4 linked regions of the Drosophila melanogaster genome follow. The protein of the gene in region 2 interacts with the protein of the main gene of each other region in a pairwise test. Each region holds a gene or a part of one and is shown on either strand. Other genes may lie near its edges. The genes, in order: qless, CG14490, CG1142 and CG5808.

Region 1 (4,646 bases), on a different chromosome or scaffold from region 2:
CCGGATCTGCATGCATCTTTGGCGTCGCTAGGAGCCGAGTTACTTGTGGATACTATTAACAACCTATCAGTAAGACTTAAGGAAGCCAAACCCCAAGATAGTTCAAGGGTCAGCTATGGTAAAGCATATCTAAGCACTTCGAGAACCTATATAAACTATATTTTTGCCTTCAGCTCCCAAGATTACCAGTAAAATCACAGAAATTATCTGGTCCGAGCTGAGTGCCATTGAAATATACACTCGTCATCGAGCTTTGTATGGCTACAAAAACCTTACAACCAACTTTTTGGGCAAGCAAGTGCAGTTGCTGGAGTTGCGATTACCGGAGAAGAGAGTTCCCGTCCAAGAACCTGGTGCCATCAGCTACCTAAGGAAGTCGAGATCCCTCATAATCGGATGTGCTCAGCAGAGTCAGTTGGAAGTGCTTCAGTTACGCGTGGAAGGTAGAAAACCTATGAGTGCCCAGGACTTTAACAACGGATTCCTGAAGCAAGCAAGGTCCTTATCCTTCACAGAGAATAAAATAGCATCGATTTGATAACGAACGTGTGGATTTAATGCACAATGGATGCTTAGTATCTAGGCCAAGTCGGAGGGCTTGACTTCCTTGGTTTCGGACAGCTGCTGCGTGGATTTTTGGAGCAGATTCTTGGTGAACCACATGGGACGAGGCTTCTTCATCTCCACGATGCGCTTGTTTTTCAGATCATCTGTGGACTGTTCGGCCTTCTCGCCTTCATAAAGAACGATTACTTCCTTGTCCACGGGATCTAGACCGAGTGTCTCCTGGATTTTCGACTGCATGAGCTCAGTCTCCTTCAGGACCTTTTGGTAGCAGAAGGCTGGAAGAGCAACATTAAAGGTGGCTACCTCTTTGTATACTTTTAAGGCTACTTACGACAAAGAACTCCCATCTCGTGGTCATGGCCACATTGCAGACAGGAGCGGAGGTTTCTCTTCTCCCTCAAAGGCTTCCAGTTGTATTCCGGATATCCGAACTTCCGCTTCAGGCGTTTCTCCACGGATCTTCTGTGCTTCGGAACAGCCCACAGCAATCCGTCGCCAATAAGCTGCTTCAAACTGAATTCCTGGGAGGATTTAGGGCTGTGATCATGCTGAAAACCGGCCAACGCTAAAGCTGTGTAAAAAGTGGGTAAGTCAGGGTAACTTTATCTTGGGCTGGTGCTTCTCACCAGGAGGGTGTCCTCCATGTGGCAGGAACAAGCTCTCTAAGTTCCTAATAAAGTTTGTAATTGATAAAAACAAATTTCTAGACATCTTGTTGCTGCTCTTCTGAAATTTACGTAAACGTGATTAGAGATGCGCAAGAGGAAACAGCTGTGCTATCGATATGTTTATAGAAAAACGTAAGTAAGGCACAAAATAGATGTAAAAATGTTAATTCAAAAAAGAGCAATAAAAATGGTGTAACTACTTTTAAAATAATGTCAGCATCCGTAAATAACTACCGTTTTAAGGTTGCAGACTTTGTCGCCTTACGTTGCACACTTCTAGTGCTACGTTTTAGCCGGCTGCCTTGCGTCACCGCGCACGTTGCAACCCTAAACAGCTGTTCGCAGCAGCTGTTCTGCACTGTTACGTCAAAATAAAGTAGTGAAAAGGTGCAAATTGCGTGCGAGTTAAATAAAAACTATTTGCCAGGCGGAAAAACGCGTTTTCATCGGGATCTTTGAGCGTCCCAGTTGTTGCGGAACATGAGGACACTGGCGGGACTAATTGGTAGTGGCGGTAGTGGCCATAGGACCTCTGTGAGCAACGCTTGAGTCCAGATATATCCCTCCAATAGTGTGACCCATAGGTAGCCTGGGGTCATCCAAACAGACCTCGACCCCCAGTGACTGTAAAACCGCGTGGCTGCCTTAGCCACCGAAATCCCCGTTCAAGTTCAAGCCGATCTTACCTTCGTGAGCGATCGTTTCCACCACAGTCGGCCAGTGGGATTCCCACCACACCTGACCGCGCGCACGCGCATCGATTCAAAAATCCACAAAAAGCGAAAACACTTCGCTGGAGCTGCTGAAGCCAAACGCAAGCAAACCGCGCTTCGCCGTCGCCTCGAAATCGTTAGTCCATCGATACCCCGAACTCGCCACACAATCGCGCGTTTTTCAAATCCTGCGAGCCTGCAAAAAACATAAACAAAACCCACTATAATGCTGTTCACCTGTTGAATTCTGTGCCTGTGTCTCGATCAAGAAGCTGCATCCTACCCTTCCCACAAAAAAAAAAACCATCGCATAAGCCCTGCTACTTACAAATCCTCACAAACAAAACCCACAAAATGGCCTGCTTGAGCACTTCCGGTCGCGTCGTGTGCGGCTCGCGTCGCCAGCAGGCGCACAAGCTGCTCTATCAGCTCTTCGGATCCCGGCCAGGATATACAGCCCCGTCCGCCGCAACCGGATTATTCAGTCCGCCCAAAGTTCAACAGCAGGCCATGCGACTCTACCACGGATTAAGCTTCAGCATGGGCAAGGATTACCCCGATCTGCTGGTAAGTTCACTGTCGGGCGAAGCCTACACAGCGAGAAAAGTGTTGTGTTAAATGGTAAAAATAGTTGAAGTTAGAAAAATATGGAAAATATGAGGATTTCATTTCTGGTAAACTTGAAAAGGAAAAGATACTTTTTATAAGCAGTACAATTTAAGTGATTCCTTTTAAAATTTGCAAATGTGAAATAAATCCTTATAAAATTGGATTGAAAATGTATTAGTTTTTTTTTTTTGCCGTGCAGAGTGCATTGGCTGCAAGCCAACTCTTTTGGCCGCTAATGCGTCTGCGTGACTTTGGCTTTTGCTGTCCGCTTTTCTTTTCTTCGCTGCAAAGCCAAAAAGAAAATGAAAGTGAAATTGGTTGCTGGCAGTTGTCCGTTGCTTGTTGGTTGTTGGTTGTTGGCCATTGCTTTTGTGCAAGTAGCGTGAAAAACAACTTGTTGCGCCCACAGTTGCAGTGTTGTTGTTGGCGGAAGCTGGCGCATTTATTTATTATTGTGCCTTGGCTTTTTTACCATTTGCCGAACGCCTCTGTTTTTCTCCGCAACGTTTCCATGTGTTTTTCCCCGCATTTTTGCAAGGTGAAGTTTTTCATCTGCCTCTCTTTCTGGCCCGATAATTATGTCTCTTTCTGGTCTGTCTGTAGTTTGTCATTATTTTTATATCGTTGACAAGTCGCTAGCCTGCAGTGTTTTTCTTCCTTTTTCATTTTTTCTTTGAGTTATGCAATTTCGCTGGTTGCATTTGAGCTCTGGTTTATTGCTCGTATTTATCAATATTTATCGCCCGCGTTGTTGATTTTCGCGCTATTTGTGGCGCCAATAAACAGCTGATTGGGGGCCAGTGCCCCCAAAACTGTGCTCCACTTGACTGGGAACTGCGCGTATACGTAATATCTCAATTGTGTTCTGTTCTGTATTGTGTCGAACATGCGGATTTTGTACCCTTATCAGTCGGGGTAAACACTATCAGCTATTTGCTATTTCACTAGATAGATTAACTATTGCAAATACGGTGAATACACTTAAAGGAATAAGGAAGGTATTTTTCATGAGAACTACATATTTCTACTAATAACTCATAATAACATCTTGACATTGCCTCAGGTGTCAAATATAAATATTAATTTTCTCCCATAATATTTTATTGTTACGGCACTATAAAGCGAGTTTACTGTAACAAATAAAACGATTGAAATGCATGTAATTTTTTAAATCCCACGAATGACGCACTGAGTGCAACAAAAGGGTCGTAAATAACCGAGCTCATTATAGAGTTATGGAGCTATTTGCCTTCCTAGGTCATATTTCTTGGGGAACATCTCCAGCCTTTGTTGTGAGTCGGAAAAACCCAGAAGGAACTTCGGGCAATTGTCTTGAAATTCAATTGGCTAGTCAAGCCTTCGGCTTAATTGCTTACTTACTCACTTATGTACACCTTGAGTAGGCATGTATGCATAGGCCGCGATTAGTGCATCGGCTTCTCACATTTGCTATTTAGTTTATTGTTTTATGGCACGCCATTTAAGCCAACCCATTTAACTGGGGGGGGGGTGGCATTCGGGAGTACGACTTTGATTTAATTGCTTTAGCATTGCGAATGCAGCAAGTTGAATGCAGTTTGTGCATTGGCTATTTTGGCGGCCAGCCTTGGCTTGATCATATTTATTTGTATCTATATGGCCGCACTTTGGTCGCTTTTTGGGTATACATATGTATATAAAACAGGTTAAGTGCTCGTTAATTCACTTTAATGCACACCTTTGACATCCGTAAAAAAGACCTTGCTCCGAAAGGTTGGGGGTTTGCATTTGCCTCCCGAAAATGCGAGAAGCCAAATGTGTTATTGGGCCAATTTGATATCTTTACGATACAAGTATAGTTAAAAGCAAGTAGCAGTACTTCAATAATATATGGAGTACTCACATATAAATAAATGTTCCCAATCATATTGGAAAAAGTTTGATAATTTTGTATGCAGTCGTTGTCATCGAATTATTTATGCATTTTAGTTGTTTAAGACCCTTTTTTGTTTCACTTCGGAGCCGAATAAAAATTCATTCAACGCCAAATTGAATGTGTGCCCAACTCGCATCCATACACACGGGTAGACGGCAAAACACAAGCACCTGG
Region 2 (3,080 bases):
TACACCTAGCATGCTGAAGAAAGGGAGGCGCGGCATTAGGGGCGGATCAGATAAATTAGGTCCATTCAGATCACATAATATAAGAGAAAAGTTGCTTATTTGCCAATTTTGCAATGTTCTCGCGAGAAATGGCTAATAATAATAAGAGGCGATGCCGGGGAATCGTTTCGATTTCTAACCAAAATTAAATAAAAATCATTAATGACTTTCTTCACTTTTGCAATTTTCACATAGGTGGCGATGGTGGAGGTGCAACTGGATCACGATACGAATGTACCACCGGGCATGCTGATAGCCTTCGCCATCTGCACCACCCTCCTGGTGGCGGTGCACATGCTGGCCCTGATGATCAGCACCTGTATCCTGCCAAATATTGAGACGGTGTGTAATTTGCATAGTATTTCCCTGGTCCACGAATCGCCACACGAGCGTCTCCATTGGTACATTGAAACGGCGTGGGCATTCTCCACGCTGCTGGGACTCATACTCTTTCTACTGGAGATAGCCATCCTGTGCTGGGTGAAATTCTATGACCTAAGTCCGCCGGCGGCTTGGTCAGCGTGTGTGGTCCTCATACCGGTGATGATCATCTTTATGGCCTTCGCCATTCACTTCTATCGCTCCCTGGTGTCGCACAAATATGAGGTGACAGTCTCGGGCATCCGTGAGCTGGAGATGCTCAAGGAGCAGATGGAGCAGGATCATTTGGAGCATCACAATAACATACGAAATAATGGCATGAACTATGGCGCATCCGGGGACATTGTCTAGCATCACTTGGCGTATCCGCACAAGTGGATCGAACGAAAAAGACAGCGGCTCAGGGTAAGCTTCAGATTATTTTTAGTGAAACACACATATTGTAAATTTGTAGTTGATTAAAATTGTGATACGCGGAATTCAGTAGATTTCTACTATATATATATATATATGTGCGAGTGCTGCTGTAGTCCTTTATTTTACTTATGGCAATTGCGGATTAGCACGGATATTGACAATGATAAAAGACCCCAATTAAAGCAATACTTCGGATGAATATTCCTCAAAAAATTAGCTGATATTTGTTACATATTTATATTGCGTGTATTTTAAATTGTATGCCATGCCGGATTTTCTTTTTTTGCAACCATCCTTAGGCAGTCTTCCCTTTTTACGTTTAAGACACAACTTGATTGTCAAATTTAATATTAAGCCAATTGTGTAAGCGAAACCGCGCTGTAATTTATACCATATAATTTATGATTAAAAGAATTTTCTATATATATGGTGTTGGAGTTTTATTTTTAATCGTGATATATAGCTGAACAATAGATGCGGATTAAAAGAATGCAAAATTTTAGAGACAATTTGATATATTTTATATGCAACATAAAACAATTGTAAAATAAAGTATTTGAAAATGTACTGCAATATTTATATACGAATTATATTCATAGGTATTCCAATAGTTTTGGAAAATATAACAGTCTATTTTCGATCTTTACCGATGTAAGCTAAATAGCGCTGTAATTTATATACGACTGATTAAACGATTTTTACTACATACACTTAACCGGAACAAACGATTTTCTATTGAGCCAATGTCTTTGGCCTCCTTAAGTTAGCGTGTCGCTGCTGGAGGAAGCCAAATGGTGGCAAGACATGCTGCTGCTGGCTGGGGGGGTTCGATTAGACAAGTGACACCACCGCACGCACACCGCCGCCTAAAGTCGGACGACACCACATGGCACCGCCGCAATTGGACGGACTTGCTCCCGCGCTCAGTCATCGAAGACATGTCGTCGCGTACGAGCGGATATAGTAGTGGAGTTCGCTCTCAACGTTATCCTGGTGGGCAGTACCAGGGCAAATGGTTGGGCCAGCAGCCTCACGGGTTTGGGGTAAAGCAAACGAGCAGTGGACTTGTCTACGAGGGTCACTGGCAGAAGGGTCAACGGCATGGCATCGGAAGTTTGCGTCGCAAGGAGCTCGATGGCCGCATGGAACGCATCTACGTGGGTCAGTGGCGGGAGAACAAGCGGAGTGGCGAGGGCAAGCAGTTCTATCCGGACGGATCCGTCTACTTTGGTCAGTGGCTAGCGGACCAGCGAAGTGGAGAGGGCATCCTATGGCAGGCGGATGGCGGCATCTATGTGGGCGAGTGGCTTCGGGACAAGATGCACGAAAAGGGTTTACTTTTCACGGGTGAGTGTGATAAAGAAATAAGATATGTTCCTTTGGATGTATTTGTTTCATTTTATTTATTTTTTCGCAACTTTAAAAATGCATAAAGATTATAGATAATAAGTTAATATGTTATCCATAGCAACGGGAAATCGCTACGTGGGTCAATTTGAAGGAGGCTGCAAATCGGGCTCAGGTGTATTTTACCATGCCAGCAATGGACAGCGGATTCAGCACGGTTTTTGGAGCAAGGACATCTGTAGAACGTCACTACTGTCCCTGCCACAAGATAAAAACAATGAATTTATGTCAAAAGCTCTTTTGTAACACTTACACACAATATATATATATATTTAAATACCAAGACATTTTCGATAAGAATAAATACGAACTAAGGAGACTACTATCTAATCAGTGCCGATGCCGTGTGCGTGTGCTAATGGACTCCGTTTCGGGAGCCTGTGCTTCCAAAACCTGGCGCCTCGTTCGCTTGGATGAAAGAGTCGCTGTCTTTGGTGTCTCTACTGGTTGGCGCAGCCTGGCTCTGGTGCTCCGTGTACTTGTAGTTATTGTCGGCGTTTCTACTATTTCCAAGCTATTATCCAATGTTAGGACTTTACAAGCTTTGGATGTGGCCTTGGGTTTTGCCTTCTCCCTACTTTTTGGTTGTGTCTTCTTTGTGGACACCAAAGGTGAATCGTCATCGTCGCTTATCTCGATCGCTTGGCAGGCATTTAGATCCACGTGATCCGAAGGCGGTGTATTCTCTGTTCCGCTGCCACCGCTGCTACTGCAACTGGTAGCACTTGGTGGTCGTAGTTCCAGCTCCTCGTAAATTCTGAATCGAGGTGCCTTTTTGGCCGACTGTTTAACTTTAGACGCCGTATTCTTGACTGCTGAAACCGATCCTATTGCGG
Region 3 (3,811 bases), on a different chromosome or scaffold from region 2:
AATTCACCACTTTTCAACATTTACTTCTTGACCAGCTTTATATGAAATTTATCGATCTGTTCTTCTACTTTGAAATCATAAATTTAAGTTAAACGAAATTAAAACACAGTCATTAAAAAATATATATAAAAATTGTTATAAAAAATCTTTCTGTTCCCGCCCGGGTTCGAACCGGGGACCTTGTGCGTGTGAAGCACACGTGATAACCGCTACACTACGGAAACTAGATGGAAGACATGATTCAAAGATTGGTTATAAAATTAAAAAGAAACTTTCCTCGTTCACTTATAACAATTTAGAATAAAGTTATCAATTTAGTTTGTCAAAAATATTGTTAATACACACAATATAAAGAATCTTACTGAGGAATATGATTTTTAAATATTTGGCCAAAGGAAGAGAACATAAAATAAACTCCTCTATTTCGCAGAAAGGTACTAACCATACGGATCTTGCGATACTCCACGATCTCTGGAGTGACTACTTTCTGACTTGACTATTTACCCCATCATTATTTAAGTTCAAATAAAATATAGAGACGAGTAAGTTAGGTTTTAAAATATTTTATATTTATTTATTTTTCTTAAGTTTTTTCATTTTCTTCAAGTTTTTCCGATAGGCGTATTTGTCTGTGCGCTTAATAACCTCGTTGAACTTCCTCTTGTTGAACTTCTGGAAGCTCTCGTCTTCTAACAACTCATTTACCAGCGACTGCTTCTTCTTGGACTTCTTTTCTTGGTAGTGATCCAAATGCGAAGGTAGCACAGTACCGATTTGGAAAAATTTGGGCAGACTCTTAAGGTCGTTCTTCTTGTAGAATTGCTTAGGGTTCAGAACCGATCGCATCTGAACTATTTTCAGTTCGTTTCGCATCTCGTCGGTGATCTCTGTGGCGGGCAGATTAAACCATCCCTTGCCCTTGGTCTTTGAGCGTTCAGCCTGAAAAAAGGAAGGCGATTAAAAATAAAAGCAAGGTAGGGTCTGAAATTTCCAATATGTTGCGCTCAGATTACTAAAGACGTCGTCACCATGACAAACAGCTTAGACCTAACTGGCTCCTGGGTCGACAAAAGCGCGTGTTTCATTTCCATTTGGGTGTTCTGTAAACCAGAGACTAAACTATCTGTCTAGGACTCAATGACAGATAATAGTCTTGATCCCTGGCTGTTGGTGTCCCGCTGGCCTTACGGCCACTGCAAATTCTGGAGTGCAGCAGCAAAGATTACAACGGATGAAACTAGATTTGCTAGAGTCTGAGCCTTAGGTCTTGTCGCCAATGCGCAAACTCCGATGTCGAATATTTCATCATGGGCAAAAGGGCTGTTTGTACGAACAAATCGCTTCACACTCACTCTGTTGATGATGGGTTGCTGCCTCTTTCCCACGGTGGGCAGTGCATGCGCCTGTTCTAGTCCTGGATTCAAGGCCTGTTTCGTCCTCTTCATATTACTTTCCAGGTTTTCCTGCCGCAGGTCCAGATGCGGAGCATCGTGGTTCAGTTCTGTTACCCGCTTCCGGGGCACTACTTTCGGTTTGCTGGAGTTCTCCACTGCACTCTCGACCTTTTCGCAGAGGTCCTCCAGCTGCTTGGCAACCTTGGATACCGGCTTCTTTCGGTCAGGCAGGGAATTCACGACATCGAGCACTTCCTTGGAGTTCAACTTTAGGCCAAAGAGCTCCACTGCGCCCTCATTTTGTTCCTCGTCCTCCTCGCTGTGCGCGTCACTTTCTGTCAGGAGCAGCTCTTTGTTGTACACAATCTTCTTTTGCTGCTGCTCGCCATTGAATTCCTGGCGTCCTGTTGTGTCTACCAGAAAAATAGAATCCATTTTGTGCGGCAACCACGCTTGTTTATAACATACAAACAGTGTGACCGTGTAGTAGTAGCACACACACTCACAGGTCGACTGTCAAAAATATACTAAATGCACTGCATGTAATTTGGAAAATACTAGCTCTTGGCAAGGGCATTCCTGAACATTTATTACTTAAATTACTTTTAGTTTAAAAAAATTTGTGTTCTAATTTAATTTTTCTGACAAGTACATTTGATCTAAAGGTTTAAATTCAAAAATTCACAACCGACTTACAACCTAATGGAATACCCCCAATTTTTATTTTTTCTTTGTTAAGGTATAACAATTAGTTGCTTAAGCAATTTTGAACGTACAATTAAGTAAACCTCCACATAAAACATCAGTTCCGAGTGCGAGGACCGATAACTTCGTGCTTGGTGGACCTAATAGCTGAATACTGCCTAAATGTGCCAATGCTTCTAAATTGCTTGGTAATAGTCGTCATATTGCAATGCTCATGGAAAAGAGATTATTGAGTATAAGTAGAAATACATATTTAGTTTTTGGAAGGAAACTTTATTCATGAAATCGATATGCATTAAAAATCTCAAAACTTAAAAACTAGTAGAAATACTCTTCGAAATCCGTAATGCTACACATGCCCGTATATTAGTATCAAGATACCGTTTGCCTGTTACGAGCAAAAATGCATTTGGGGTTCTATTTTTGAGAGTTCTAGTTTCACTGTAAAAAAAGAAATTGTTACTTTCAAATAATAAGTTGTATAAATATGCATTTTAATAACAAAATAAATAATAAATAAATATTGGAACGTAGTTCGCTGCAGCAAAAGAATGGGCAAATTGCTCGGCAATGCCGCGTACATGGAAGTGTTCTGAACAGCAAATTTGTTACGAAAATCCGAAGCTAAGCTACTAAGTTACTTAACCAACAAATTTTGAAAGTGGCTGACTCGGGCAACTGTCGCCGGCTTCAGCACCGGACCGCCGCCCGTCCCCGCCCAATACGGCTTCCGGTCGAGACCAGAATCCGCGGGGTGGTGGGGGCGACGGATCGGGGGTGCATGACCGTGCGTCGACCGCCGGATAACCCGTCGTCATCCAGTGGAAGGCAGCGGAAAGCCGATCCGAACGAGGAGCCACGGCAACGCCAGGCAGAATTACTGGGAAACACAAAGGTGTGACGGAGGGTCGGCTCTGAACAGATCTGATAAGCAGATGCAGTTACCTGAATATCGATCAATGTACAGAACAATCACAGAATACACTTCCGAAGTAACGGGAAGCAGATATCGTATTTATACGAGTATTTGACCAAATAAGCACTTGGGAATTACAAGCTGGCAGTCGGGCAAACGTGCTGTATGGCAAACCAAATCGGGGTGGGTTTTGCCATTGCTTATGCATACCCGTGTATGAACGTTGCTTTAAAAGCCTGTGAAATCAAAAGTATAGTTTCTATGTAAGAAATTTAAATTGTTTCATAATGACTGAGAAATGCAGAATGGTAAAAAAATAACAATAGGAAGTATATATTCCTGAATTGCCCTCGGCTGGGCTCGAGCAAACGAAAGATTCTTCAAAGTGGAATGACAGCATGAGTTTGCTGATACATATTTTTATATGTGTGCCATACAGCGGTAGGTAAACAAACAAGAAAATCAAATGCATTTATAGATTTGTACCCTTTGTAATATGTGTTCAGAAAAAGATGTAATTTTTAAATTAGTTAAAATAATATGAATAGAATTTTTTTTTTAAATTATTATTTATTAAGTGAAGAATCCGTACATCGAACACTATAAAAATAAAATAAGTGAAGTAGGAACATAAATGATTTGGGGAATTGCGACCAAATCGAATTATAAACGTATCCAGGTGATGCAAAATCGCGCATGTACGTAACTCTACACTCCATAAAGACCTCAATATTCACACAGTTGAGACACAAATTGGGAGAAATACAAGTCGATATAGTGACAGCAAAGACCCTAG
Region 4 (4,218 bases), on a different chromosome or scaffold from region 2:
TTCAAGAAGCTCCACCGTACACGACAATACGTTTTTCAGGGGGATGCCAATGCTTTGGCGGCGGGACGACTAAAAATCAACGAATCTTTCCTGCAGAATCGTAATGAAAGCAGCGAGGATGAAATTCAAAAGGTTTAACCACTTTTTGTAAATTCTAACTAAGTACATATATGGCAATTTGGCAAATTACAGATGATCAAGCTGGCGCAGGACGTGGATTTGGAGCTGCGAACGAATGTCATCCAAGCCCAGAAAAAAGAGGATGGTGTTTATGGTCAGTGGGGCATGGCGATTACATAAAAGAGCGCTCAAAATTAAAATTTGGCTATATTTACAGAACTAAGGATCACGCCAGAGACAACGCGACTCGACAATGTGGTCTTTAATCCTGACGCAATTATCGAAAAACCGCGCAGGCAACGCGGCGACAAAAACACTGAAGGTTGCTGCGGTGGCGCTGCGATGGCGGCGCTGGAAGCCGAAGTCCAGGCCCGCAACAAATAAAAATATATTCAATATTTAGCTGTAGTCAAGATGGTTTTGTTCTGATTAATTACGTCGTTTATCTTTAATTTCTATTATGTTTCTTCTTCGATTTGTGACTACTCTTTGACTTGGACTTCTTTTGCTTGGATTTTGTACTCTTTTTGCGTTTGCTGCGATCGTCCGACGATGAGGAGCTGCTAGAGCTGTCCTCGGAACTATCTGAAGATGTGGAGTCGCTTTCGGATTCCGAGGAACTTTCACTCGAATCTGAACTGCTGCTAGCTGCTCGTTTCGATTTCTTGGCTTGCTTTTTGCTCTTTTCCACTGAAAGTTTTCTTTTCTTCTCATGACTCTTGTTAGGGCTTGAGTGAGTGTCCATTCTATGGTCTTCCCGGTTCCTGGATTGTTGCCTATAAAAAGATAGATAGATAGTTAAAGATTTTGTATACATCCAGATGCTTAACATTTTTACCTCCGCTCTGGCGATCTTCTTTGATTCCTGGAGGTTTCTCTATGCGATCTCTCATCGTTACGTCTTCCTTCTTGAGGGGAATGGAATCGCCTGCTGTCATTGCGATCTCTGTTTTGAGTCGGTCTTTTTCCAGTTTGATCTCTAGATCTAGAACGCCTTCTCTCATTTTGTTCCCTTGGCCTAGAGCGTCTTCTTTCCTTTTGGTCCCTTGACCTAGAACGTCTTCCTAATTGGTCTCTAGGCCTAGAAGGCCTTCTCTCTTCTCGATCTCTTGACCTAGAGTACCTTCTATGTGTTGCATCCCGAGACCTCGATGACCTTTTTTCATTGCGATTCCTTTCGCGATTTGAGTTCTCTCTGACTGACTCATTTTGCGATTTTTTCGATCTATAAACACTTTTTTCATCTTTTTCCTTCGATCTGGTGCGTCTTTGCAAATTCTTTCGAACATCTCGTTCGCTTTGCTCCTGGTGTCGCTGTTCTCTCGCTTTTCTTCGCTCTGCAGAGCTCATCCTATTTCGAAAATCTTCCGTCCTGTTGCGCTCCTTATGGTCTTCTGTTCTGGACCGGCCATTGTTTGGTTTCCTGTGATCTTTGTCGTCTCGCAAATTGTTAAAATCCAGCTTTCTATAGTCGCCCTCAATACCACGTCCTTTGCCCCGCCAGGTGACCTTTGAAACGGATTGGGAGAAGTCCACGTGGATGCGTCGATCGTCGATAAGCACATTATCCATTTTGAAATATGCGGCCTCACAAGATTTTTGATCCTCGAACTCCACAAAAGCATATTGCAGAGAATCTCCCGTTTTGCGGTCGCGAATCACCTCACATCCTTTAAGCACGCCGAAGCTACTAAAGATTATCTCCAGATCATCGTCGGTTGTAACAGGATTGAGTTTGCACACAAACAAGACATTTTCTGGCGGAGCCATGTCTGCATCGGGTAAATCGCCGACAATCTCAAGGATTGTGGCTCGAGCCTTGGCCTCTCGTTCGGCCAGCATCTCCTGCATCTCCTCCGCGGTCATGCCATCAGTGTCATCGATATCCTCGTCGGCAGCGATGCGCCCGTTCTTCAGACGCTCCGCACTGGGCGAAGGTGAGCGACTTGGAGCCTGAAGGCCGCGCGGATTAGGAAACGGATCCTCAAGCACAACAGTGTGTGTGATGCGTATATCCTGGTAAGGACGGAAGCTGTCGTCAACAATGGCGTCGTTTAGCTTGCGCAGCACCTCGTGACCTTCCACCACTTCACCGATAACGCAGTGGTTGCCGTCCAGCGATGTTAGGTTCTCACCCAGCGTGAGGAAGAACTGGGATCCCACCAGATTCTTGCCTGCACTGACCAGCGATAGCATTCCGGCACTGGAGTGGTTAATCTTGGGCAGGAACTCCGCCTCGAAGAAGCGCTTTTGCGGACCCTCCACCACGCCCCAGATGGAGGATCCGCCGTCTCCAGCTCCACTCGGATCGCCTGTTTGGGCGATGAATCCCTGCTGCACCGTGTGAAATAGATTGAAGTTATAGTACTTCAGCCGGCACAGCTTGAGGAAGTTTAGGCAGGCAATTGGGCGCTCGCTGATGAACAGGTCGACGGTCAGGTCACCCATCGTGGTTTCTATAACCACCGACATTGTGCGAATTCACAGATACCGGCAAAATCAAGGGATAAACAAGAACAATATAGAGGTGGAGAAACATCGATGCCAAATCGATATCATCGATGCTTTCGAAAAATCACAAACATCGATGTTTTTCGAGGAATCATCGATGTTTTTCCATCTCTACTGCGCATCGGAGGAGAGAAGTGTATAAATTGTAGGTATAAATTAATTATCCAAATTTTCTAATACAATTATTAATTTAATGTGACTTATGTCGGTGTTATATGAAACTTGTACAAAATTGGTATTTTACATAAATTTTGAAAAAAAAATATTTTTTTTTATGTACCCTAAACTGAGAAAAAAGTAAAAAAAATACAAACTGAACAAAACTGAAAAAAAATAAAGAAAATACAAATTGATCAAAGAAGTCCATACCTGTAAATGTAAATAGTTATACACGATGCGTAAGTTCATCCGATACTTGACATCGATTGAATATTTTAAAAACAGAACGTAACTTCGTAATCGCCATTTTCGATTGTCATTCGATAATTGTGTGTGTATCAGTGAGACTTGTCAAAGAATTTTCACACGTTTCGAGACTGGAAAAAAGTACAGAAAATTTCATTCCAATCTTAAAAAGCGACAATTAATAGTTAAGCAAGTGACCAGTGATCTAGAACAAGGTAAAATGCCCGAGGCAGGAAAGAAAATAGCAGAGTTGCGCGTGTGCGATCTAAAGAGTGAGCTGGAGAAACGCGAGTTGGAGACAGTCGGCCCCAAGGCGGTGCTCATCGAACGCCTTGAAAAAGTAAGTCCACAAATATGTATGCAACTTAAATGGCGGTTCAGTGCCGCTGGCGATAGAGATAGTGATGCAATTTCCGGGGATTTATGAATGTGTGTAAGCAACGCCTGGTTTTTTCTAATTTCAAGTCACTCAGAGCTGAAGGGCTCGACCCGGCCACCCACTTGATTGTGCCGGGCGCGAAGGCCAAGAAGCCGTTTGCCATGCCCATGAAAGATCTCCAGTCGGAGGTGGTGATCAAGGAAGAGCCCATCGATGCCAATGAGGAGGAGGTGAAGGTGGAACAGCAAGATGATTACCAGAATGGCAACGACTACTCGCATCATGCCGACGACGATGGGCATGAGATTGACCAGGTGGGAGATGTGGACGATGAGTGTGTGATCCTGGATGACGACGATGAAGAGGATGAGGATCATGTGTACGACGATGAGCCCCAGAGCGGTGATGGCGATGCCGAGGGGAAAGCTCAGGACGATGGAGCCGAGAACAATGGCGACGACAAGGCTATTATCCATGGTGAGGAGGAAAACACCGGGGACACCGGAAATATGGACAATGACGAGTCAATCAATTTGACAATTGGGGAGGACGAGCAGAAGCTGCTGCACGATGAGGTGATTTTAACTATTTGGCCTTAAATTGATGTATTCTAATCCAATTTGTTTTGTCCTCAGGCTTCCGACGACAAATCTATTAAGTCTGGTATGTTTGCAGTATCACTCAAAACCATAGAAAATTTATAATTCATGACTAGAAATATCATGGCGTTTGTATTCATGCAATCGATTAAGAAATACGAAATACAAGAAATAAAGCTAATATGTTAATAAAAGTTATCCTGA

The links.
Region 1: the proteins of CG14490 (region 2) and qless interact in a two-hybrid assay, tested with the Drosophila melanogaster proteins (one large-scale study listed by BioGRID).
Region 3: the proteins of CG14490 (region 2) and CG1142 interact in a two-hybrid assay, tested with the Drosophila melanogaster proteins (one large-scale study listed by BioGRID).
Region 4: the proteins of CG14490 (region 2) and CG5808 interact in a two-hybrid assay, tested with the Drosophila melanogaster proteins (one large-scale study listed by BioGRID).

Annotation. Positions count from the first base shown.
Region 1 is NT_033777.3:31,249,551-31,254,196, reverse strand, and holds the start of qless (qless), read left to right. Parts: upstream 1-1,588; 5' UTR 1,589-2,302; coding exon 2,303-2,515; intron 2,516-4,646. Other genes in the region: CG1750 (uncharacterized protein), read left to right, coding at 1-118, 174-538; mRpL32 (mitochondrial ribosomal protein L32), read right to left, coding at 580-842, 899-1,138, 1,194-1,278.
Region 2 is NT_033778.4:17,859,024-17,862,103, forward strand, and holds CG14490 (uncharacterized protein), read left to right. Parts: upstream 1-1,736; 5' UTR 1,737-1,775; coding exon 1,776-2,184; intron 2,185-2,249; exon of another isoform or gene 2,250-2,305; coding exon 2,306-2,490; 3' UTR 2,491-2,568; downstream 2,569-3,080. Other genes in the region: orai, read left to right, coding at 235-771; thr (three rows), read right to left, coding at 2,575-3,080.
Region 3 is NT_033777.3:7,471,909-7,475,719, forward strand, and holds CG1142 (uncharacterized protein), read right to left. Parts: upstream 1,874-3,811; 5' UTR 1,830-1,873; coding exon 1,353-1,829; intron 1,315-1,352; exon of another isoform or gene 999-1,314; intron 940-998; coding exon 571-939; 3' UTR 550-570; downstream 1-549.
Region 4 is NT_033777.3:24,814,361-24,818,578, forward strand, and holds CG5808 (uncharacterized protein), read right to left. Parts: upstream 2,648-4,218; 5' UTR 2,593-2,647; coding exon 959-2,592; intron 897-958; coding exon 569-896; 3' UTR 543-568; downstream 1-542. Other genes in the region: CG34150 (uncharacterized protein), read left to right, coding at 1-132, 193-274, 338-504; Saf-B (scaffold attachment factor B), read left to right, coding at 3,257-3,376, 3,502-3,990, 4,051-4,078.